Diceros bicornis minor: one gene and its partners. The protein of the gene in region 3 purifies or fractionates together with the protein of the main gene of each other region. This does not show direct contact. Links are inferred from orthologs where the notes say so. Each region holds a gene or a part of one and is shown on either strand. Other genes may lie near its edges. The genes, in order: ARHGEF2, PPP6R3 and ANKRD28.

Region 1 (7,825 bases), on a different chromosome or scaffold from region 3:
AAAAGACATTAAATGGAGAGGTATACTATTTTCATGGATAGGAATAAGCAATATGATAAAGATGTCAACTTTCTCTAAACTAATCTTTAGATTCAATGCGACTCCAATAAAAATCTCAAAGTTTTTTTTTTTTTTTTTTTGTGAGCAGATCAGCTCTATGCTAACATCTGCCAGTCCTCCTTTTTTTTTTGCTCAGGAAGACTGGCCCTGGGCTAACATCCGTGTCCATCTTCCTCCACTTTATATGGGACGCCGCCACAGCATGGCTTCCTGAGCGATGCATCGGTGCGCGCCTGGGATCCGAACTGCCTAACCCGGGGCCACTGCAGCGGAGCACGCGCACTTAACGGCTTGTGCCACCGGGCTGGCCCCTCAAAGTTTTTTAATGCATGTTTTATATGTATGTTATACTCCAATAAATATGTTAATTTTTAAAAAATTAAAAAATTCTCTTTATTTAAAGACACTATGGGAGAGGGAAAAGACAAACCATATTTCTCCATCTTTGAGAAAAGATCACTTCAACACGTATAACAACAAATAATTAGTATTCAGAACATATAAAGAACACATTCAAAACAATAAAGAAAAAACCCTCAAAGAACCCAATACAAAAATGGGCAAAAGACATGAAGAGGAATTTCACAGAAGAGGAAACACAAATGAACAAAATACATATGAAAAGATGCTCAACCACATTTGTAATAGGATAATTCAAATTAAGACCATAATGAGATTTATAACTACTGGACCAGCAAAATTAAGGAATCTGATGACTCCAAATGTTGAAAAGGATATGGATCAATGGGAACTCTCATGTACTGCTGATGGGAGTGGAAACAATTTGCCATTATATTGTAAAAATGAACATCTGTGCACTCTACGACCGAACAATTCCACTCCAAGGTATACACCCTGGAGAAATTCTTGCAAATGTGCACCAGAAGGTGGATAAAAAGGATGTTCATATCGACAATTCTTCATAATAGCAAAGAATGGAAATTGCTCAAATGTCCATGAACAGAAGAATGGAATGAAAATGAATGAACTATAATTATTTGCAACACGTGGATAAAAATTAGAAACAGAATGTTGAATGACAATGTAAGTTATAGAAAATTTTGTACAATATAACATCATTGTTTTTAAACTCAGAAACAAAAAAAAAGAAATGATATATTATTAGGTAATGCATATATCTGTGTTAAAACTATAAAAAATGTAAATGAGTGGTAAAAGAAAGTTCAAGATAGTGATTATCTCTGGTGGGGAAGCAAGAGAATAAGAGAAGAGAGGAAGACGTAAACAAAGATAAATGTATTGGTGATGTTCTAGTTCTTGAGATGGGTGGTCAATTTACCAGACATTCATTTTTAAATATTATATTTAAAAGACAAAGGGAAAAAATACAACAGAGGGTATTAGCAACTCTGGCAAACTGGAGCGCACAGGCCTCCTTTAAGGACATCTGAATTTTAGAAAGTGTAAGCACCATGCTGGCCAAACAAAATAAATTTTGGAGCTAGACTTGGCTCATAGACCGTCAGTCTGCAAGCCCCAGTCGAGTTTAATGAGTCTCAGACTTTTGCTCCGTGGACTGTGGTAGAGTACTGATACGCACATATTACTGCAGGAAGAAACAAAAAACCTCCAACATATAGACAAGGAGAAATGTAAGGGGAGTGCTTAAAGATTAGGTGGAGAGAGGGGAGGAATCAGAGCAGGAAGGCATAAAAAGAGAAAAAAACACTAGGGAAAGGGGGGAAAGAAGAGAACATATAATACCAAGAAGGGGAAAGTGGAAAGTGGGGAGAAGAGACAGGTGGAAGAGAGGGAAAGGAGTATGAAGGAACAGAGGGGAAAAGAGGAAAAAGAAACTTATTTCTCGCACTCATCCTGTGTGCCAGCCTCTGTACTGGGCACTTGAACACCTATTTTCACTGAATAATCACAACTTTAAAAGACAGTTGTTATTATCCTGGCTTTCAGAGAGACGACATGAATTGTTCAGCTGGTAAATGAAGGATCTCAGAGTCAGTTTGACTCCCAAATCCTGTTCTTTCTATGATACCATATTGACATGGGGGTGAGGGAAGACATGCAGAGATGCTGATGGAGAAAAGTGAGTGAGGGGATCAGATGGGTCTTCCCCTGACAGGCTGTAACAGCCTCTTGCGCTCAGCCTGTCTCCCAAACCACAGGCACTGGAACAATGAGGCTGGGGTGGGTAACCCTGGCCAGCTAGAGGATGAGCAGGAAGGGAGGCAACATTTAGTCACCAGGCTTGAGACATTTCTGTGTACTCAGGAAGTCTTAGCTAGTAGACCCAGTGGTGTCTCGCAAAGCCCTCATATCCTCAGGTCCTTAGGTCCTGGTTTGAGAGCTCCCCCCAGTTATGTTCCCTAAGCCAGAAGGCTGGGCAATCTCTCTATCCTGTCTCATTTGATAATCTCATGATTATCTTGTTAGAGAACTATTGTCTTTCAAGGTACCAGATGCCTAGTTTCATCCCACAAATAATAAGTTCAGCTCCAAATCTGAGAAATGTGGGGGTCTACAGAAAGAAGTGGTTTTAACAACTAGGGGAATAGGGGCCTTTTAACGAAAGAGGAACAGAGATACCCACATCAACACAGAGACACAGACACAGAAAGGAAGGAACAGAGAGTCTTAGCGAAAGAGACAGAGGCAAGATACCAAGAGTGGGGAACAGAGCAGACAGACCCAGGGAAGCAGACAGAGGAGTACAGACAACAGATTCAGATTCAGTCGGATAGAGTCAGAGTGATGCCTGGGCACAGAGAAATCCAGCAGCTGGCAGAACAGAAGAGGCACAGAGTGGTGGCTGGACAGGCAAGGAGGCAGGAGAGGGGGAGGAAGGCAGTGGCCTCCATAGGGATTAGTCTGTCCATACCACGCGGGAGGACTGGCCACCTCGGTGCTGCAGTTCCAGAAAGGTGTCCAGTTCCTCTTGGCTCTGCAGTAAGGGGGCCTCCCGGGGGCCCGCGCATCCCGATGCCTGCAGTTTGCTCCTGAAACACACATTGCCACCACCGCCCTCGGTATCCAGTGGCCACTGACGGGCACCAGGGAGGAACACCGCCTCAGCCGAGCCCTGTTGCTTGCCCCCAGCCCAGCCCTTCCTGTTGGCATAGGCTCAGTTCAGACCCAAACTAGCCTCTCTTTGGGGCTGTGCTCTAGCAGAGGTGCAGAGCTAGCTACAGGCAAGAGTGACCCCTGCTGGTCAACAGGCAGTACTGCCCTCCAGAAGAAAGCCAGTGCTCCGGGAGAGGCAAATGAAGGGCAAGCTGGATTCTCACTCCTTGCCTGGTTTCTGATGACAGCCTTTGCCCCGACTCAGCTGAATAGCGTGCCCAGGGCTCCTTTCCCTCTCTACCCAAAGGGCAAGAATTGATGCCTGATAGTGAAAGATGGCACCTGCAAGACTCTGAGATACAGTTGGCATCACATAAGGGGTACCCAGGGCATCTCTGCCTTGGACCAGCTGCTCTTAGGAAGGTGCCATGAGCCCTGCAGGCAAGGTTCTCTCCTGAGTTCCCACCCAAGCCAGTTCAGGGACAAGGTGCAGGGTCCTCTCCCCTAACCCGGCCCAGCCAGCCCTGCCCAGGAGCTAGAGAAAGTTGGTCTACTCACCAGAGCTAAGGGAACTCGTCCAAGGGGACCATTGCCAAAGCAGAGAGACAGTGCCCTTCCATGGCTAGCAGGCCCTCACATGACCACTCACACTGAACTCTTCACGCTCACCCCAGGCCTTCTATTTCTGACTTCCTCTGTCTTTGGGGAAGTGGTCAGGGATTTTCCAGGAGAAGCAGAAGAGATGGGTCCCTCTTTTCCGGTCTGCCAAGCATATGCAGACCTCTGAGCAAGAGTAGCTATTCTCCCATTGCAGGGCTGTACTATGATGACCAAAACATTTTGGGTCTGCCTCAGCCTGGACCCAGCAGGTAGGCAGCAATTTGGGAAAGGGGCAGATTCAATGCTCCAAACCTGTGACCACTTCTCTCAAGAAAGAAACCTTCCAAAGTTCTCTGGGCCTCAGTTTCCTCATCTGTAAAATGAGATTGGGTCGTATGATCCCTGAATCCCTTCCAGCTCTGGCATCTCTGTATGCGTCTATGAAACCCAAGTGGAGATGGAGGCAATAAGACCAAATGTCCTGATATTCACCCCAACTCCACACCTTACCCCCTCCACTCTGACCCCCACCTGCCCTTGAGACCAGGTAGAAAGAAGGTGCTAGGACCACTAGGGAGAGCCACATTTTGAAAGGCAGGGTCCATCCTCCCCAAAGCCCTCCCATAGGCCCAGGTTCTGATTCCCTAGGGAAGAGACTAGGGACCCAAGTCTCTTCAATTCCTGTCATTCGTTTCTGACCACTTTCTCCTGAGTCTAGGACTTGAGGGAAGGAGGACAGAAAGTCCCCTGGGGATTTACCTGCTCATTGGATCCTGGAGCTCCCTGCCTGGCCCCCAACTATGTCTTTTGAAGGGGTCATAGTTGTGGCTCTGGGCACGGAAAGCCCCCGACCTTCGGAGGGGTACAGCATGGAAGCCATCTCCCTCCTTTTTTCCCTCTTCCTCCTCCTCTTCCTCCAGCTGCTCTCTGGACTCCACTGCAGACAGGCAGCGGCGAGTGTGGCCTTGGGGTACCAGGTCTCCACCTGGGACGTCTCTGTTCATGGGAGGCACACGCAGGCCAGTCTGAGTCAAGAAGACAGAGAAGGGTGAGCAGAGTTCTAGAACTCAGGAAACTTAGAACTAGAAAGATGTCACAGTCAGCAGGGCCTAGAGTATCTAGTCACCCCTCCCTTTCCTAAAGCACAGAACTGGAGAAGGCTGGCTCAGGATCACACCAAGAATTAACTGCAGAGCCAAGTCCAGAACTTGGGTTTTCTGACACCCAGTCTAGTGTTCTTTTTTGAGGCAGATTAGCCCTGAGCTAACATCTGTTGCCAATCCTCTTCTTTTTTGCTGAGGAAGATGGGCCCTGGGCTAACGTTCATGCCCATCCTCCTCTATTTTATATGGGACGCCACCGCAGCATGGCTTGATGAGCGGTGCATATGTCCGCGCCCAGGATCCGAACTTGTGTACCCCGGGCTGCTGAAGCGGAGCGGGTGAACCTAATCACTATGCCACTGGGACGGCCCCCCAGTCCAGTGTTCTTACCAGTACATAATGACATCCTCATTCACTCATTATTTTTCCATTTACTGAGCACCTAAATGGCAGAAAACCAAGCCAAGAAAAGAGAAATAGATATTGTTCCTGTCCTCAAGGAATTCACAGTCTAGTGAGTATGTGTGTGTGTGCACATGCACGTGTGTGCACATAGACAAAAGCACAAATCACAAATGACGGACTGGCCAGAGTATGCCAAATAACCAGCTGGACACTCAAAAAAGGGAGGCAGAAGGGAGTAGATAGGCTTTGAGATGGGCCTGGAGGGGTGGAGTGGTTAGGATTTGGCCAAGTTGGAGAGGGAGGAGGCTAGGCGGATAAAGCTGGAGGGAGGAAAGGTTCAGGAGTGAGAAAGTATTGTGAGTTCTTCCCTCTAAAATTCTGGTCATATGGGGAGTAAGAGAGCTATTACCACCTCTCCTCGTGCAGCACAGAGAAGGGCTCCAAATCCCAGCCACATCGCAGTTCCTTCTCTCTCTCCCAGGACTGCACTGTTGTCATTGCCCAACCCTCCCACATGCCATCAGGGCTTGCCTCAGTGTGTCTCAGAGTTAAGAACCCTCGGGTGCTCTTAAAGTTGAAATGATAAGCCCCATTCCAGAAAGAAGTACCAAATTCCAGAGGACCAAGACGGTGGAGGGGCAGGAAGGGAACTAACATTACTGCATACCTCTGTACAGCTCACTCATAGGCCCTGCCTCTCTGGACCTTCTGTTAGGATGAGTCTCCCAGGCTCCCCTTCTCCAGGGACCACTCCCAGCTACTGAGATGTTGGGAGTTCCCAGGAAGACCAGGAAGCTGTGAGCAAGAATCCTGCCTCCTCCCAGGCTTTCTGTGCTATTACCCTCCCCCCGCAGGAGCATTCACGTTGTTGGAAAGTTGCTCCTTCAATCAACTTTTCCCCTTTTCCCTCTCCCACTGCAATCTGTCCACTGCCCCTCCCCCCACTCAGGGTGGCTGAGAAGGTGCTTGAGCCTGTGTCGAGTGCATGCCTGTCCACCGCAGGGAAGGAGGGAGACAAGTGCTCAGGCCTCTGCAGACAGCATTCTGCTGCCCTGCCAGGTGGGTCTAAGGATAAAAAAGGAGAGGCCTAGGAAACCCGCCCAGGCCCTGTGCCTGTCCATGCTCATTACATCTGGAAGCAACGTAGAGGGGACCCCTCAGCCAGCCACGAGGAGAGATCTCTCTCCTGGTCTACAGACTTGGGCCTCATGCCATCTGATGTGCTGTCTGTAAATGCGATAGGCAGATCTGGAGGGAGCAGGACAGAGGCTGAGGGCCGGAGCAAGGTCCCTGCCAACCAGTGGTCTCCAAAGCTGAGATCTGGGGGGCAGGAGGGAAACAGACAAAAAAGTATTGTGAGAAGTGGCAGTGGAGGGAAGAGCATGAACTGGAGGTGCTGACTAAGAAAAGAGGAAGAGGGGCTGGGAACAGGACAGAAATTGAGGGGCACCGAAGCAGCGCTGCAAGGATCTTGGGTGCTTGGCATTCAGTGACCTCACAAAAGAGAAAAGACTGCTTGAGCTACACCCCCTGTAGCCAGCTTCTCTCTGCTATCCCTGCCCTACTTCTGCCTGCAGGGCTGATTTGGCAAGATGAATGAAATGCAGTGAATTGAAGCCCTTTCCTTTCCCTCCGTTCCTAGAGACGCCATCTGCTGGAGATGGTACCCTGCTACCCTGGCCCAGTGGATAGACCTTCTGATCCTGAGATCTTTATGTCCTGAGATCTCACCCTTCTTCCTCCAGCTCAGACCAACTGGAATCTGACCTCAAAGATCTACCCTTTTTCCAGCATCTCTGTCATTTCATTCACAGTCTCTGCCCTCTGTGAAAATGGAGTCCACTGGGCTCCTTCTCCCTCAGATCTTCATTCCATTTCTCAGAAAGTTTTTCCTGTTTTCTAAACTCCACCCCTCCATGCTATTATGTCAATTTTTATTCTATCCTTTAAAGAGATGAGGTTTAGTAAGGTTTCCTGAACCCCCACCCAGAGACATTCCCTCCTCCGTTTTCTGAAATTCAAGCTGGGGCCCCTATGGTTGTGTTCTCTTCCTTGCTTCCCTTTCCATTAGTTCTCTCCCAGCCCCCATCCCACATCCCCTAGCCTCCCTGAGCTCAGGAAACGGTGCAAGGGAGCAGCCAGGGCTGGGTCTCACACAATGGCTTTATTTAGCTCCCGAATGAGATCACATCATGTCACATCACTGCTTCCGCTGAACAGAGAGATAAGAGATTTTGAAATAGGTCTGGGATCGGACACTCGAGATGGGGGCAGGGGAGGAAAGCAAGAAGGGGCTCTAAGAAGTTGTTTTACTTATCTTCCTGCCTCTAGATCAGATGGTTTTCCCACCAACACAGACTGTCAGTGTCTCCTGCCTCCTCCTCTGAGTTGCAACCTCCACCTACCACACTAGTCATCAGTGATTCGTTAGACACTGTACTGGGCGCTGATATGGGAGCACATAATATTTTAATAGAGAGAGACATCTGTTATTCAAAACTCTGAGACCATAATTTCTTTAGGGTGTTATAGTGGCTTTGAAGTCGGTCCGATTTGCTAGCTCTGCCACCTTCATAACCTCATGATCCTGGGAACTCGCTTAATGTTATTGAGCTTTAGAA
Region 2 (8,043 bases), on a different chromosome or scaffold from region 3:
TTCTCAATCCCACCGTAAAGTTCCAGAGGTGGGGTCCACCATCCATGGTCTTAAAAAGTGTCCCAAACAATTCTCATGCAGGCCAGTCTAGCATCTATCTAAATAGAGGAGGGTTTCTCGACCTCGGCGCTACTGATATTGAGGCTGGATAATTTTTTTGTTGGGCGAGGGGAAGAACGGTGCTGTCCTGTGCATTACAGGATGCTTAGCAGCATCCCTGGTCTCTACCTTCCAGAAGCCAGTAGCACACTGCCCACCCCCACAGGTGTCACAAGAAAAATGTCTCCAGACATTGCCAAATGTTTTTCTGGGGTGCAAAATCGCCCCCCAGTTGAGAACCACTGATCTAAAATAAATCAAAAACCAATCATTTGAGGTCCTCTTAAGAAAGGGAAGAAATCAGAAAGCTGCTTAAGCTAAAGAGGCCAAATCTATTTTTTCAGTCCGTCTCACATAAAAGTAGCTCACACTACACAGGCCACAGTGGGGCTCAGACACTGACATGTGAGGAGGATCAAACTACAGTCTCCTGTGCTTTTTATGAAATAGACTCAATGCTGAGTTGTAGTTGACCAGATAGCTAGAAGAGCTTCACTGTCACTATCATTTGGTCTTCTTAAGGGTAATAAAACATCGTAAAATTTTAGACCAATCCACACTCAGATTGCCTCTCAAATATCCAAAACATAAAACTGAAAGATACAAGTTTATCACAGAAACAAACTAAATACCGATTCTGACAAATAACGTTTTAAGGATGAGATGTTTTATGTGTAATAAGCACATTACCTTTGTACCAAATCCATGCAAAAATTTCTTTTAAAGAAGCTAAGCAAACCTCACCCTGTTGAGTCTTAATTTTATTACTCTTCATTTTCTGCCCAACTATGTGGTCTGATTCCCAAATTCTCAAGTAGTTAACTGAAACTAGCAAGACTTTCTTTTGTTTTGCTATACTTTACAAAAAACCTAGTTTTCTAATCCAAAACAATCTTCTTCCTGTTCTTGAGTAAGTTACACCAGCAAGATGCTCATCTCTACTTAAGCCTGAGTCTATCAAAATAAAACCTCCCCAGAGCAATAAGGCAGGCCAGGGCCCAAACAAGTAGTACCAAGGGAAGGGTGCGCATGGTTTCCAATACCAGGCAGAAGAGCACAGGGCAGGAATTAAACACTGCGAGTGTACGTGTGACTGAGTGGATGGCACTTTGTCGGATATTCTAGACTCCCTGATGGGACACACTGAAAAGCAAGACAGCTCCCAAAGACCCATCCAGGACAACAGCTATTTCCCAAATTATCTTCACTGAAGTATATTCCAATACACAGTAACCTTTCAGACCCCATAATAACCCAGCAGTACACTGAAAAACCCTGGAGATACCGATGTGGGGGCCAATCATATTCAGGAGTAGTATCCAAAAGTACAGGAGGGACAGAATCTGACTTGCACCTGATGGGCCTTTCTTTATTTCACCACCTCTTAAACAAAACATTCTGAGACACCACCACTAACAACTCCAGGAAACGTTTGTGATTCAGTGAATCTTCAACCACTCTTCTCCGAAAAAATTAAAATAACTTCCAATTCGTTTCCTCAGCCCCACTGACTCTTACATATACAGAGCTTTCTAAACACAGTCGCAAAGCGCCAGAGCTTAAACACTCATTTGACTTCCTAATAGTATGTCAACATTTAAAAATCAAACTTAAACTAATAACAGCCACTAATTACTAAGCTGATTCTCCGTGCAGGCACCGTTTCTAGCCGCTGCACATGTATTAACTCATTTTCCCAGCAAACTTAGGAGATAGACACTCTCATGATTCCCACATTACAGAGGAAGCAGAGAGGGTCAGTAACTTGTCCAAGGTCACAGAGCTAGAAAGCGGTGAGGCCAAGATCTGAATCCGGGCAGTCTAACTCCAGAGTGAGGACAGCTCAGCCACCACCACCTCCTAGGAGACCCTCCAGCGGCTGGAAATCGGGCGTCTCTTTCCCACTTGCTGCCTACCAGCAGCATGACCTTGAGCACAAAACCGAAGTAAACTCCACAAGAACTAGTGCCGTGAGGATGAAAGGAAACAGCTCCCGAGCGCCCCTCCCATAAAAGCAAAATATAAACAAAGCTCCGGGCGACCCGCGGAGAAGTCCCGGGAAAATCACAGGAAGCTCCGACGCTGGAACATCAGGACGCAGACATGCACCCAAGGACTCCTGCCGGGCACCCGCGACCGAGGGGCCAGCTGCGATCAGAGCCGGCAGGCTCCAGGAGGAGCCCCCCAAACCCGCACGGAGAGGCTTCTTTAAGAGGCAGGTCCCCGCAGCCCCGGCAGGACCAGCCCCTCGCTCCCACTCGCCGGGGAAGCGTCCGTGCCCGGGGACGCACTCGAGTGCGGAGTTGGAGAGGCGCTCGGGAGGCGATTTAAACCCTCGGAGCCGGGGCCGGCGGCTCCCAATGACTCTGCGGCGGCGGAGCAGAAACCCACAGAACTTGTTTCCCGGAGAACCGACTCCAACGATGGCCTCGCGAGGCTCCGGCGAGCGGCCGCCGCCGCCGGCCCCGCTCCGGGCCGCGCCGAAGGGAGTTCCCGGGGCCCGGGCGGCGGGCGGAGCGGGCGGAGGAGCCGGGCGGTGAGGGGCGCGCCCCGCCCGCCGCCCGCCGCCCGCCGCGCAAGGCCGCGGACGTCAGCGCGGGCGCAAAGTTCGCCGCCCGGCCGCGTCCCGCCCCGGCGCCCGGCCCGGAGGGACCCCGCGGCCCGCGGACGACCGGCTGACAAGCGGGGACCGGAGCCCGGGCACCGCGCCTCCCGGGCCGCCGGGCGGCGAATTCCGGGGGGGAGGGGAGGGGGCCGGGGCGCTCCCTCCCTGCGCCGCCGAGGCCGAGCAGAGGAGCCCCGCCGCAGCCGCCGCCCGCGCGCCGCGCCTCCCGCGGCCCCCGCGCCGCGGCCCGCGCCGCCGCCCCACCCCCACCTTACCTGGAGGCGCCCGCGACCCGCCGCTAGTCGCGCTCAGGCGGGAAACGCGCTCACCGACACCATCAGCGAAGCGCCCAAAATGGCGGACGTATCAAGCAGGCCTTGAGTTCCCCCCGCCCTCCCCCGGCCGCCTCGCAGCCAATCGCGGCCCTGCCCCTGCCCCCAGCTTCGCGCTCATTGGCCTCCCTCTCCCGCCCCCTGCGACCTATTGGATCGCCCAGCGGCCCCGTTGCCCCCACTCCGATTGGCTGGCGGGCCCCGTCCGTCAAGCGCGAGGGGCGCATTCTTTTCCCATGGACTTGACGGATCCGGAACCTCTAGGACCCCGGAGTCTGAAGAAGCAAATCAAACCGGGCGCAACCTGGCTGGGTCTCCCCTACGCCGTAGCAACAGCAGGGCCTCTGCTTGACGGACGCTCAGACCACCAATCCGATAGCCAGTGCTTTTTAAAATGAAATCGAGCCAAACCAATCGTGGCCCGGGAACTGGGAGCTGCCGGGGAGCCAATGGGGGAGCGAGGCCGGCGGGCGGGCGGGCGAGCCGGAGGGCCTGGAGGAAACCGGTGATGACGTGAGCCACAATGTGTTCCGGCGGCGGAAACCACCCTGAGAGGGGGAATTAGCTCAAATGGTAGAGCGCTCGCTTAGCATGCGAGAGGTAGCGGGATCGATGCCCGCATTCTCCAAGGCTGCATTTTATAAAGACGGTCGCCCGTCGTGGTCACTTTACCGAGAAAAGGTGGCTGTGCCAGGAGTGGGGTCAAAGTGAGGGGTCGTGTGCCCTTAGTTAGCTGTGCGGCGGCCACCACCGCGAGAGAGGAGAACTGCAGGGATCTCCCTTTTGCCCTGCGGAAGGATTGATACACGAGCTTCTTCCACAATGCCCGTCGGGGCCCCCGCCACCTCCCTGCCTCCTGCAGAGGGCCGGGCGGGGACACCCAGGAGTAGCCCACCATCTGCTCACCTTTACGCACTTACTGCTAATAACCTGCCTTGATCCTCAATGGATGCGGAGCGCCGTCCAGGGTCACGTGACAATCAGCCGCGGGCGAAAGTGGGCGGAGGACTGAGAAGGGCAGGCGAGGTTAGCCCGCGTGAAACCCAGTCGGGGTTCAGCAGGACGCAAAATCGCGCACCCACCGGTGTGCGTGCGGTGGGGGAGGTTTGGGCTGGTGGCTGCCGAAGAGGGGGCGCTGCTCATTCGTGGGCAGCCTTCTCGTGGGCACTTGGTCTGCGCCCAGCCTGCGGGCGTGCACGGGGAGCAGAGGGTCCCGGCTCTGACCGCCTGTGGGGGACGGTCAGACACCACCTGGGCCGCACCAGGTAGTGCTAAGCAGGTGGTAAATAAAACAGTAGTGGGCGCCCTTCCTGAGCAGGTTGCATTTCAACCCGCGGGACAGGGAGGACTGAGCATGAGCTCCTGGCTCCAGGTGCTAGAGAGGGAGACCAGAGACCTCAAGGAGGGGCTTTGGAGCGCTGGGGAGGCAGGCATGGTTGGGTTGCAGTGGGAGAGGGACATGGCAGAGAGAGGAGGTGGCAGAAGTGACTGGGTCGTGCGGGGCCTTGAGAATGCCAGCATGCCCAGGAGAAACCAATAATCCCGGATGCTCAGTTGGGCAGGGGCCTGGAGTGACAAGGGGGCTCCATGCAGGGAGCTTGTGGGTCCCTCCCAGGCTTTAGGGCAGCTGACTGGTGGTGATGGCTTGGTCAGGGGTGGCCACTCCTGCTCGAGGAGGACAGGGCGTGTTACTGGAGGCTTCCCCGGGCTGCCGCCCAAGAAAAGTGACAGTGAGCATGGAGAAGGCAGGACCAGCAGAGTTGGCCACCAGCCTGCCTTCCTGATGCCTGGTATCTTTCTGCACCCGCACCTCTGCCCTTTGCACTGGTCCCAGCTGACCTGAGCTCCCTCCACATCACTGACCCAGATTCTCTGAGCCCCCATGCCAAACGGGGAAGCCCAGCTTGAGTTGGGTCAACCCCAGCGCCTGGGGAGCTGGGTCTCCAGTGCAAACATGCCTCCCCCCCAGCTTACCCCCTCAGCAGAGCCTGTGGCTGGAGGCAGACTCTCTAGAAAGAGTTCATTGCTGGTAGCTCAGAACAGTATTTTGTTTGTTTGTTTGTTTGTTTGTGAGGAAGATCAGCCCTGAGCTAACATCCGTGCTAATCCTCCTCTTTTTTTTGCTGAGGAAGACTGGCTCTGAGCTAACATCTATTGCCAATCCTCCTTCTTTTTTTCCTCCAAAGCCCCAGTAGATAGTTGTATGTCATAGTTGCACATTCTTCTAGTTGCTGTATGTGGGACGCGGCCTCAGCATGGCCGGAGAAGCGGTGCCTCGGTGTGCACCCGGATCCGAACCCAGGCCGCCAGTAGCGGATCGCGCGCACTTAACCGCTAAGCCATGGGGCCAGCCCCCAGAACAGTATTATCATCCCCATTTTACAGATTAGTTAACTGAGGCCCAGAAAGCATTTAGATACCAGGTGCAGCCCATTATTGGCTGAGTGATCTAACCTCTCTGACTCTCCAGTTCTTATCTGCGAAGGACTGGTAATGATACTGTAGCTACCAACCTGTGTCCATGCCCTGAAGTGTGCTGGGCCTCCGGGGAGGCAGCAACCAAGGGCAGATGTTACTCGCATTGATCCTGCTGCTCAGTGAGGCTAGAGGTCTTACCCACAGCCACACAGCTGGTGAGGAACACAGTCCAGATTGACAGCAGCTCAGAAGGTGTGCGTGCTGCAGAGGGTTAGAGAGAGGGACAAGTCTCTACCCTCGGTGGGGAGGGAGCAGGCATGCCTGGCAGAGGAAACTATGGAAGCACAGTGGCACAGGAGCATGGGAAAGGCTGCAGGGAACCCCGGGACAGGGTTGGTGCCTGAGAGGGAGGCTTGGCCTGGGCAGAAGGGGACAGCAAGGGCTGGGACCTGCCCTTCTGGCAGCCAGGGGAGGGCCCAGCCACCCACCCATCCCTTTGCTCTTTCATCATCAAAGGACTTGCCAGTACCTGCTTCAGGCTTCTCCAACCCAGACTCTGAGGTGGGTCATAGGGCCATGTGCGCTATAATTAAAGGAAACAGTATAGTACCTCACCCAACGTAAGTGGGCCCCATAGTCTTCAATCATCATGAGTTCCTAACCTATCCAGAAGTGTTGATGTCAGGGAGGACTTCCTGGAGGAGCAGGCATCTGAGCTCAGCCCATCTCATGAGGGCCATGGAGAGCTATTAATTAGGCTTTAAGCAAGAGAGTGACTTTGAAGCTTTGGATTGGCTTCACCATCCTAAAACTTCTAGATTTCACGGATCACCACCTTCCCCTGTTTCCCCCCAATCCTTTTGTGGTTTAATTTTTAATGTTTAAATTTTTAATCCGTTTAGGCTTGAAAAAAAATTTACATGAATATTTTCAGACATACTCAAAAGTGGAGAGAAAAGTATGCCCACTACCCATCACCCAGCTATTACTCCTTAACTTTTGGGAACAGACACAGCTGCCAAATTTTAATCCTTTCAAGTAATATTAAAAAAAAAATACCACTTACTATCACTGGGATTTCATGAAAAAAACGACATTTTGAGCCAGCCTTTATGGCCTAGCAGTTAAAGTTCAGCACGCTCTGCTTCAGTGGCCCGGGTTTGGTTCTCTGGCAGGGAACCACACCACCCGTCTGTCAGTAGAGTAGCCATGCTGTGGCGGCTCACAGAGGAGAACCAGAAAAACTTAAAACTATGCACAACTAGGGGCCGGCCCCGTGGCTTAGCGGTTAAATGCGTGCGCTCCGCTGCTGGCGACCCGGGTTCAGATCCCGGGGTGCGCACCGCTTGTCCGGCCCTGCTGAGGCCGCGTCCCACATCCAGCAACTAGAAGGATGTGCATCCATGACATACAACTATCTACTGGGGGTTGGGGGGGAGGAGGAGGATTGGCAATAGATGTTAGCTCAGAGCCGGTCTTCCTCAGCAAAAAGAGGAGGATTGGCAATAGATGTTAGCTCAGAGCCGGTCTTCCTCAGCAAAAAGAGGAGGATTGGCATGGATGTTAGCTCAGGGCTGATCTTTCTCACAAAAAAAACAAAAACAAAAACTATACACAACTATTTACTGGGGCTTTGTGGGGGGAAAGGAAGAAAAAAGGAGGAAGATTGGCAACTGATGTTAGCTTAGGGCAAAAATTCCCCCGTAAAATAATAATAATAAATTTTTTTTTAAATCCCTTTTCAAAGAAAGAACATTTTAACACACGCATACACTCAGATAGAAAAAGACTTTAAGATGAATAAGCTCAACTTGGGGAGAAAGTTGTCTTTCCTTTTCTTATGTCACCAGGGCTCCGTCCTCACCCGAGGGCTGGAGTGGGGCCACCCAGGCAGAGGACATGCTTCGGGAGGGCCCGGGCTGGTGCTGGCTCATCGCTGGCTCTGGTCAAAACATGTTGAGGCTGGAGAGAAGGGCCAGATAGCGATCTCTAGAGGCAGATGAAGGTGGACCCGTTTTAACATGGGACATTTAACTCCTGTCTCATCCTTTTCTTGACTGCATCAAGATTCAGTCTGGGTTGGGGAGGAGGTGAGTATTTCCCTTCCCAGCAAAGGACTGTTGATAATCCAGGGGTTGGTAGAAAGAGGAGCTGCTGGGGTTGCTAATGACGAGGGCTGCCATCCAGCTTATGGGGAAAGAAAAGAGAAGGGGGCATTTGGGTCCAGAGAAGGAGATAGAGGCATAGGAATCTGGGCGAAGACCTCGAGAGAGGGAGCCAGCAAAGGGCTCCTTGGTGGGACCCCAGACCGTGACCTGAGGGTATGGTCCAACGAGGGGGTCCTAGTCCTGTGAAGAGACAGCTGAGTGGCTCTCGAGAAGAAACCCTGCAGGGGCCACGTGGTATCCAAGCCCTACCCAACTTCCCAACCACCCGGGGTTCTCCAGGACAAAACCTTTCACCTCACCCCCTCCCGGTTCCCCAGCATCCTACCTGGCAGTGGACATGCCAAGGTCTGGCCATATGGATTTTGTTCAACTGCCCAGGGCAGCTGTAGACCAAGGTGGCTTCTGGACCCAGGGCGGAGCG
Region 3 (7,733 bases):
CGACGCACCGCTTCTCCGGCCATGCTGAGGACGCGTCCAACGTACAGCAACTAGAAGCATGTGCAGCTATGACATACAACTACCTACTGGGGCTTTGGGGGAAAATAAATAAATAAAATTATTTTTAAAAATGGTGTAAAAAATGTAATCTAATTTGGCCTAAAATTTAAGTGCCTCAAGGAAAACCCACATCCCCTTGCCATTGGTCAACTGAAAGAAAAAAAAATGTTGAACTTAAGTTTACACAATCTTTGTCAATAGTTTTTCATCATATGTACTGTCTCCATTCCTGATTTCTTAAATACTTGTTTACCTGTCTCCTTTTCCTTTAAGATGTGAGTTCCTTGAGGTTAGGGGACTGTCTTATTCAGTAGAAGATATAAAACAGTGCTATATGGTGCTGTTAACTTAAATAATAAAAAATATTGGGCCAACCTCGTGGTGTAGTGGTTAAGTTCAGCGCGCTCCGCTTTGGCAGCCTGGGTTCGAGGGTTAGGATCCCGGGTGTGGACCTACAACATGTCAGCCATGCTGTGGAGGTGACCCACATACAGAATTGAGGAAGATTGGCACAGATGTTAGCTCAGGGCGAATTTTCCTCAGGAAAAAAAAAAAAAATTGAAGTATTTCTCTCTTTGTATCTTTGATTATATAGTATATCGTGGGCCAGTACTTGTTACCCTTTCTGTTTCCCTAGACTATAAAATACAGTGAATGTGGAACAATGGAAAAACCTGTAGTCCTACTTCTCACCTAAGTTTACTGCTCCCTCCCCCTAATAATACTTAGTAAACTCTTGTCTGGTTACTGGAGTGTAAGACAAATTTCTAGCAGTCTCTCGAGACCTGAAAAGGGTAGAGACTTAGCAACTGAATGGGATCTCCAGTCTGAATCACCTCACCAGTAGGGAGGATGTTGTCAAGCTCTGTCTTTACAAGGGATATCATTCAACTATCCTAAATATCCATAATAATAATATTATTTTATTTTAAACTTTATTTAAACTATGAGTAACACTATAAAGTAGTTAATGTCACTTTAATAGATGTTGAAATGATTTACAGAGAGGTTAAGTAACTTGCTGAAGGGCACACAGTTATGTTTGTTAGTGGGAAGCTGGATTTAGAATACCAGCAGTTTGGCTACAAAGGCTACATTCTCTCTCACTGTGCTATTACAGTATTTCTCCTAGGTAAAAAATCTCTGGAGATTATTATTATAAAAGTGTGAAGAAATTTAAACTCAGAGGTTTTAAGTAGCTTGCCTGAGGACCCAGCTAATAAATAATGGAATCAGAATGTGAACTTCAGGTAGGCTGACTCCTGAGCCCTTAGTTTTAGCTGTCATCCTATATTATTGTTTTATATCCTGTCAACTTCTGCATTTAAGTTGTTCACCTGCTGGAGGTACAAAACTCATTCAGTTACACTTTAATGCCTCCTCTGCTTTCTGATTAAAATGTGTGTATTAATCCCCCCCATTGTCCTTTATAATTTTGCCATTCTATTCCAGAGTCTTGTGACATAATAGAGTTTATTTCAATGAAATGATTTACAGGTAGAAGAAAGTAGAAGGAAACAATACATATATAACACAGGTCGCTGCCTTCAAGGAGTTTGCTTTCTGGTTGGGAAAGACCTAAGTATGAAAGTTGACCTAGAACAATAAACAGGATGTACCTGCTTACATCTGAGTAGCTGAACTTATACACTGGATACTTTGGAACAAGTTAAAATTGTCTATGTAAAAAGAGATTTCGTTTTGGGGGGAGGGGGAACCCTGAAGATAGAATATAGGATGTTGTTATTATAGTGGTTTCATTTTCAGATATCAAGATGATATTTTTGATTTAGCCGTGTGGAGATAGTTAACATCATTTTTGTATGTCAAAATATTTGCATGCCTTTAATTGGGCTTAAAACCATTTTATATATTTTAAAATACAACTATGTGAATTGTGAGCATATTTTAATATCTTGGTACAGTTATGTTAGGGTTACAGGTTTTTTTGATATTTAATAGTTTTTGTTCTTAAATTCTGGCATTCTTAAATTATCTCTATCATGCTAGGTTTTTTTTTGTCTTGATAAGTAAACCGGCTTAAACGAGTGAGGTAACACTAGCCCTGAAATACCCATTTAAAAATAACTTGTTTGGGAATATTATCCCAGTAAATAGTATATTCCTTTGTTACCTAAACTTTTCACAACTGTTATAGGTTACCTGTCTTTTAAGATCACTTTTACAGTCTAGTAGTATGGGTTGCCAAGATCTTGAGACTGTGTGTGTGTTTGTGTGTGTGTACGTACTCATTGGAAGCAGAATAGATTAGAAAGAGCGTATGTTTGGAATTAGGTACAATTTTATTAATTTACATGATTTTGGATAAGATAATTTGAGTCTTTTTTCCTCTATAATAGGGGAATGTAGCAAGGTTATTGTATGAAATGAGAATGTATACCACCTAGTACATCATAAATGTTCAGAAATAACTATTATGTGTATTAATAAAAATTCTGGTTGATAGAAGAAAGAAGATGATTGAAGGAGAACCATGGTTTTTTCTTTTGGGAAATATCCCCATCGGTGAGTAAACAGAGAAAGAGGAGAAAAGCCAACTGCTAAAAATTGGTTGTTTCTGGCGCTTCTTTATTGCTTTGGGAAAGTTAATTTTATAGAGGAGGGAGATTCTTTGCTTTCTTTGTATTATCCTATGCCTTTTTGACATATAGATAATTCAGTACCAAGGACTTTAAACAATAGCTTTATGTAGCTATATAACAGATTTTAAGGCTTTATTCCGTTTCTGGATGGGAAGGTAGAAATATTTAATTTCTTTGGTGAAAATTCAAAGATCCATAGAATTTTAGAGTTAGGATTTCTATAAAAATTATGAAATTTTTATTTTTTCCCTTTAAAAATATGACTTGATTAAATTCAACAATTTAGAAATTGTTAGTAAATCTTAAATTTCTTTTGTGTAAACTTGGCATCTTGAAAATAACATACATCTAGTAGATTAAAAATGGTCTTGGTATAAAATAAGAATAAAATCTTAGGTTTGTGGTTTTTGTATTCTCATAAAATATTTCTCCATCTCTAGTTCTCTTTTATGGGTTCACTGCAAGCATTATTACTGCAGCTGTCGTTACAGGGTTAAACATTTGCTGTATTGTAACATACGAAAGCAGTTAAACTGTTTGGAATTGTTTACTTGCTAAAACCAGTGTTAGTCAGCAGAGGCAGTACACCAGATTTCCTTGTGGCTTTTAGTGGAAAATGTTAAAAGCGCACTCATTTTTCAGTTATAGAATTTTTCGGTTTGATCTGGATTAGTCACAGAACTGGCATGAACCTTCTAATTGTGAAGGCTGTCCAAAAGCACTATTTTTTTCTTGAGCTAGAGGAAGTTACATCCTGAGCAGTAGCTCAGATCTCTGGTAAGTGTAACATGTGAGCATTACTAGGCATTTCATCCTGCGGTTCTGCAGTCTTTGCTATTCAGACTGTTGCTCAGTCGGAATGCTTCTGTGGGGCCGATCCTGAGGTTCAATAGATATTTTTTAAGGACCTACTCAATTGGTGGTGTCGGTGGGGTTTTACAAGATCATCTGAGGAACAGGAAAGCATCTGAAATCTACTGAAAAGGATAACTGTAGCGGTTTTCACCGTGGAAGGAAACTATATTGGCACAGAGGCAGATGATTGAATAAAGTAGTTGGCTCAAAGAAGATGCACAGTCTGCTGTTTTTTCCCTGAATGAAGTCTATTTAATGGAAGCTGTATTCATGTGGAGATCAAAGGAAACACTGGAGTGATAAACTACTGGTTTTTTTCCTCTCTCTCTTTTTAAAATGAAAAACCTGAAGCAGTAATTTGAGCTCAAATGCCTTCTAATTCCTTCGTACCCTGCGTGTTCAGCTAGGATTCTCCACTAACACCATTTCTGCCTGGTGCCTGTGCCCTTTTGCTGGAGCAGCCACAGACAACTGCCTGATGGAGAAAGAGTGAACGTTTTGCCTTGCTCATGCTATCGATGGGAATAAAGCTATCTGTGTTTCTTCTATTATATGGGGTATCTGGATTACTCAAGCTGTATTCTAGTACCAAGAGTCCTATTGTCTTTTGTGGTCTGACTCATCGCATGTAAATGTACTGCAGCTTTGCTATTAATGCAGAGTGTTGTTTTTTTCCTTTCCCAAACACAGAAAGAATTGTCAACCTCTGAGCTTCATTTTAAGAATTTGTACTGAGCTCTAGATGTATTTTTTTTCTGGATAGTATCTGCATTAAACCAGTGAAGCTGAAGAAATGAAGACAAATTAGAAGTGGAAACAGAATAGTGAGATTTTTATTTTTTATTTTCGGTTATTGGCAAACCAGCTACTGGTAACTATATGACCTTGCAGGCAAGAGTGGGTATAGCTGTAATCATCTCTGTCACAGCAGTTGTTTCTCATTTCATTCTGCATCGTGCGATATCACCCAAAACAGTGATCTTTTTATGCAAGTAAATTTCTGTGGGACAGAGAGCAATATGACTATTTTGGTAGGGTAAAAATATTTTTAAATGAGCTTGTATTGGACTCAGTTTTAGTTATTGACATGTTGATGTGAAATTTCTTTTAAGTTATTGCAGTAACCCAACAAAAAATAATAGAATTTTGTTGTTTTTAGGAAGTTAAAAGTTATGTAGTCAGAATTTTAAACTTAAGTTTTTCCGATAGTACTTATTAACTTGAAAACAGCTGCGCTGTTCAGAGGATGATTCTAAGCGTTGTGCAGAAGAGGAGGAAAAACTACTTGTGCTCGTCCAACTGTGACTTTTATCACATAGCTTAAAATTTAGTATTTTAAAAGAGCGAATGAGTCGAGTGTGTATTGTTGTTTTGGAGGAGGTAGAAGATGAATCTCCTGCATTCATTTCTAAATTGCCACAGGAAAATAAATCCCTACATTCTCCACCTTCTGGAAATGCATTGGTAAGATATGAGAGTTAATATGTTTACTATATTCTGAACTAGTAAATTTTATTTTTTAAGAATAAACATAAGTTAATTTTCACTGGTTTTATTAAAAACCCAAATTAAAGCAATATAGGTGTGTAAATATGATGCAATATTACTTGTGTATAAAATGCACACATTTCTGATTTTTACTTTTTCAGATGTTTAACATTTTAAACTTACTATCTCTTAACCGCTTAAAAAGATTTTTTTTAAAAAATAATTTGAGAATAGTAGTTATGGCAATCACGTTTCTGTTTTCATTTTGTGGTTTTAAAAACTGATGTAACAAGAATGAGGAGCTGTATGTTTTAGGAAAGGTTGACTACTGCCAGCAACACCACTGCCTTTTCTGTAATGAATTTTATGTATTTACGTGCAAGACTTATATTTGAAAAAGAATCAGAGTTCATTCTTAACCTTATTTTTAATGCTTTTGTCGGTTGGCTTCTTGTTTGACTAGTATAATATGATACCTTATCATAGAGGCTGTGTCGTTGATTAAGAAATTGTTATATTTAGATATGCACGTGTTTGCCTCTTCAGGTTATTCAGGTATACAGTACTTTTTGGTGTTTGAATAGTAGTGATTTTCATCAATTGCCAGATTTTCTTTTTTGGATTTATACGTTTATACATGCAGTGCTAACCTATGCTAGTTATTTTGATGGTCCAAACAGAACTTTTCAAAGAGGCCTTCCTTCATGAACCTCAGCGTGGGCTGAGAACTGCTAATGTTTGACAAGTTGTGTCCCACAAGTAAATGTTGAGATGTCACACTTGTGTTTGGAAGAGATTTTCTTTTTACCATATATATAAACAAAGTCTTCCACGCATAAAAAGTAAAATCTGATTGTGTTTATTATGCTACCTAATTTTGGTCATGCTGAATTGATTTTTTCTTTTTTTAATTAGGCCTTCTTTTTTTTTCCAAGGAAGAATCCTGTACTTGCATACGATTTGACTTCATAAAACTTTTGGTTAATGTCAAAAACCAAATGATTATTGTTGCTATAGGGAAGAAAAGTTTTAGACTTAAAAATTATGTGGAAATATCTTTAGAATCATCCATGTGGTGTGATTAATATTTTTATTACTCTCTTGTATTTTAGCCTTCACTGGTGCAAGCTATATTTAATGGAGATCCTGATGAAGTTCGAGCACTAATATTTAAGAAGGAAGATGTTAACTTTCAGGTAAAACAGTTTACTCATACCAGTCTTTAAACCTGCTTTTAAAAACCTCTTTCCTAGAGTTATGATTTTTCTTATAAAGATATAACACAATTCTGTAACAGTGGTTTTAATGAGGGCGGAAGGGTCTTGAGGCAAAAAAGAAGGGACTGGACATATATTCAAGGGTAATAACTAAAACACAAGAGAACTAGGAGCTAATGAAGGTCCTTTGTTTCCCAACTTTTTACTTTGAAATTTTTCACAGAAAAGTTGAAAAAATACTCTGAATACCCATATACCCTCGACTTAGATCTAGCATTGATAACATTTTGCCACATTTGCTTTCTCTCTCATATTTACACAGATTTTATATATATATATATATGCATATATCTTTTTCTTTTGCTTTTACTGAATTCCATTTGAAAATAAGTTGTACACATCATAACATTTCACTGTTAAATACTTCCGTACATTTCAGATGAGAGTTCTTTTTTGTGAACTCAAAATAAAAGACATTTCTATTAAGTTTATAATGTATCTAAGTTGATTATGAGATTAAATTTCTTTCTATAAGTAATCATGGTAAGCATTATATACAAAGATTCATCTGTTTGAGAGTCTCAGAAAAGAAAGACATACTGTTTGAAAAGTCTCCAAACTTAAAGATTTAGTGGATTAAACATTCAGGACTGACATGAGGTGCAATTTTAGAGTGAGTTTGTGGATAATTTCTTCTCTGTATATGATTCTCCAGTGGCCAGTAGTTTCTTTAATTTACTAAGTTGAGGCTGAAAATATATAATTTACTATAATAAGATAAAATTCATTAATGTATGTATTTTTACTGGAAATGTTTTCAGTACATTTTTCATACATAATTCAGTCCTCTGAATTATGGAGAGTGGGGAGGAAAGGTCATGATTCATGAAGTCACTATAGCAACACCAAAACAGGTGACCTAGAAATGATTGGTAGTTCTAAGAAAGGCATACCCTGCAAGCTCATCTCAAACTCTCGTTTTTTCTCCATTCTTTAGTAAAATACTACTGTGACCACTTAATGTTAAGTAGATGTAAAAAGTATTTATCTTATTTTTAAAAGTTAGATTATCTGAATAGATGTGAATCTTTAGCTAAAATGTTTCATTCTAACATTGGGTAGTGATAGTGATCAGGATGCTATCCTTACATTTGTTTCTTAAACCTTCCTAAGTGAATTGCATATAAGTTTATATGTATTGGAAACATGCGCCTAGTTCAGGATTTCTTTCTTTATTTTAAATGGAGTGCCTGGTCACTTCACCTAGTTGGAGTGTCCTGAAGAGTCTCCTTTTCGTAGGATGGAAATAGTTATAGGGTATAGACTTATGAAAAGGAGGAAAATGGCTTTTTGTTTTAACTCTTTTGGGTTTTTTTTTTTTTTTTAATAGTACTCATAAATCTTGTCTTGGTGAGCAGGTTTGGACTGTAATCCTACCTACCCTGGTTAATTTCTTCATCATTACAAAGTCTCACTATAGCCAACAGAGCTTTTCTGCTATATTAATCAA

What was found.
Region 1: the proteins of ANKRD28 (region 3) and ARHGEF2 purify together in Homo sapiens (affinity purification with mass spectrometry; 3 studies listed by BioGRID and IntAct, with this or other methods). This does not show direct contact. The link is inferred for Diceros bicornis minor from reciprocal best matches to the Homo sapiens genes ANKRD28 and ARHGEF2.
Region 2: the proteins of ANKRD28 (region 3) and PPP6R3 purify together in Homo sapiens (co-immunoprecipitation; 3 studies listed by BioGRID and IntAct, with this or other methods). This does not show direct contact. The link is inferred for Diceros bicornis minor from reciprocal best matches to the Homo sapiens genes ANKRD28 and PPP6R3.

What each region holds. Positions count from the first base shown.
Region 1 is NC_080743.1:59,647,478-59,655,302, forward strand, and holds the start of ARHGEF2 (rho guanine nucleotide exchange factor 2), read right to left. Parts: upstream 3,039-7,825; 5' UTR 2,915-3,038; intron 1-2,914. UniProt on the Homo sapiens protein: Activates Rho-GTPases by promoting the exchange of GDP for GTP.
Region 2 is NC_080770.1:5,505,310-5,513,352, forward strand, and holds the start of PPP6R3 (serine/threonine-protein phosphatase 6 regulatory subunit 3), read right to left. Parts: upstream 3,067-8,043; 5' UTR 2,980-3,066; intron 1-2,979.
Region 3 is NC_080741.1:22,236,290-22,244,022, reverse strand, and holds the start of ANKRD28 (serine/threonine-protein phosphatase 6 regulatory ankyrin repeat subunit A), read left to right. Parts: upstream 1-4,714; 5' UTR 4,715-4,865; coding exon 4,866-4,982; intron 4,983-6,118; coding exon 6,119-6,202; intron 6,203-7,733. UniProt on the Homo sapiens protein: Regulatory subunit of protein phosphatase 6 (PP6) that may be involved in the recognition of phosphoprotein substrates. Involved in the PP6-mediated dephosphorylation of NFKBIE opposing its degradation in response to TNF-alpha.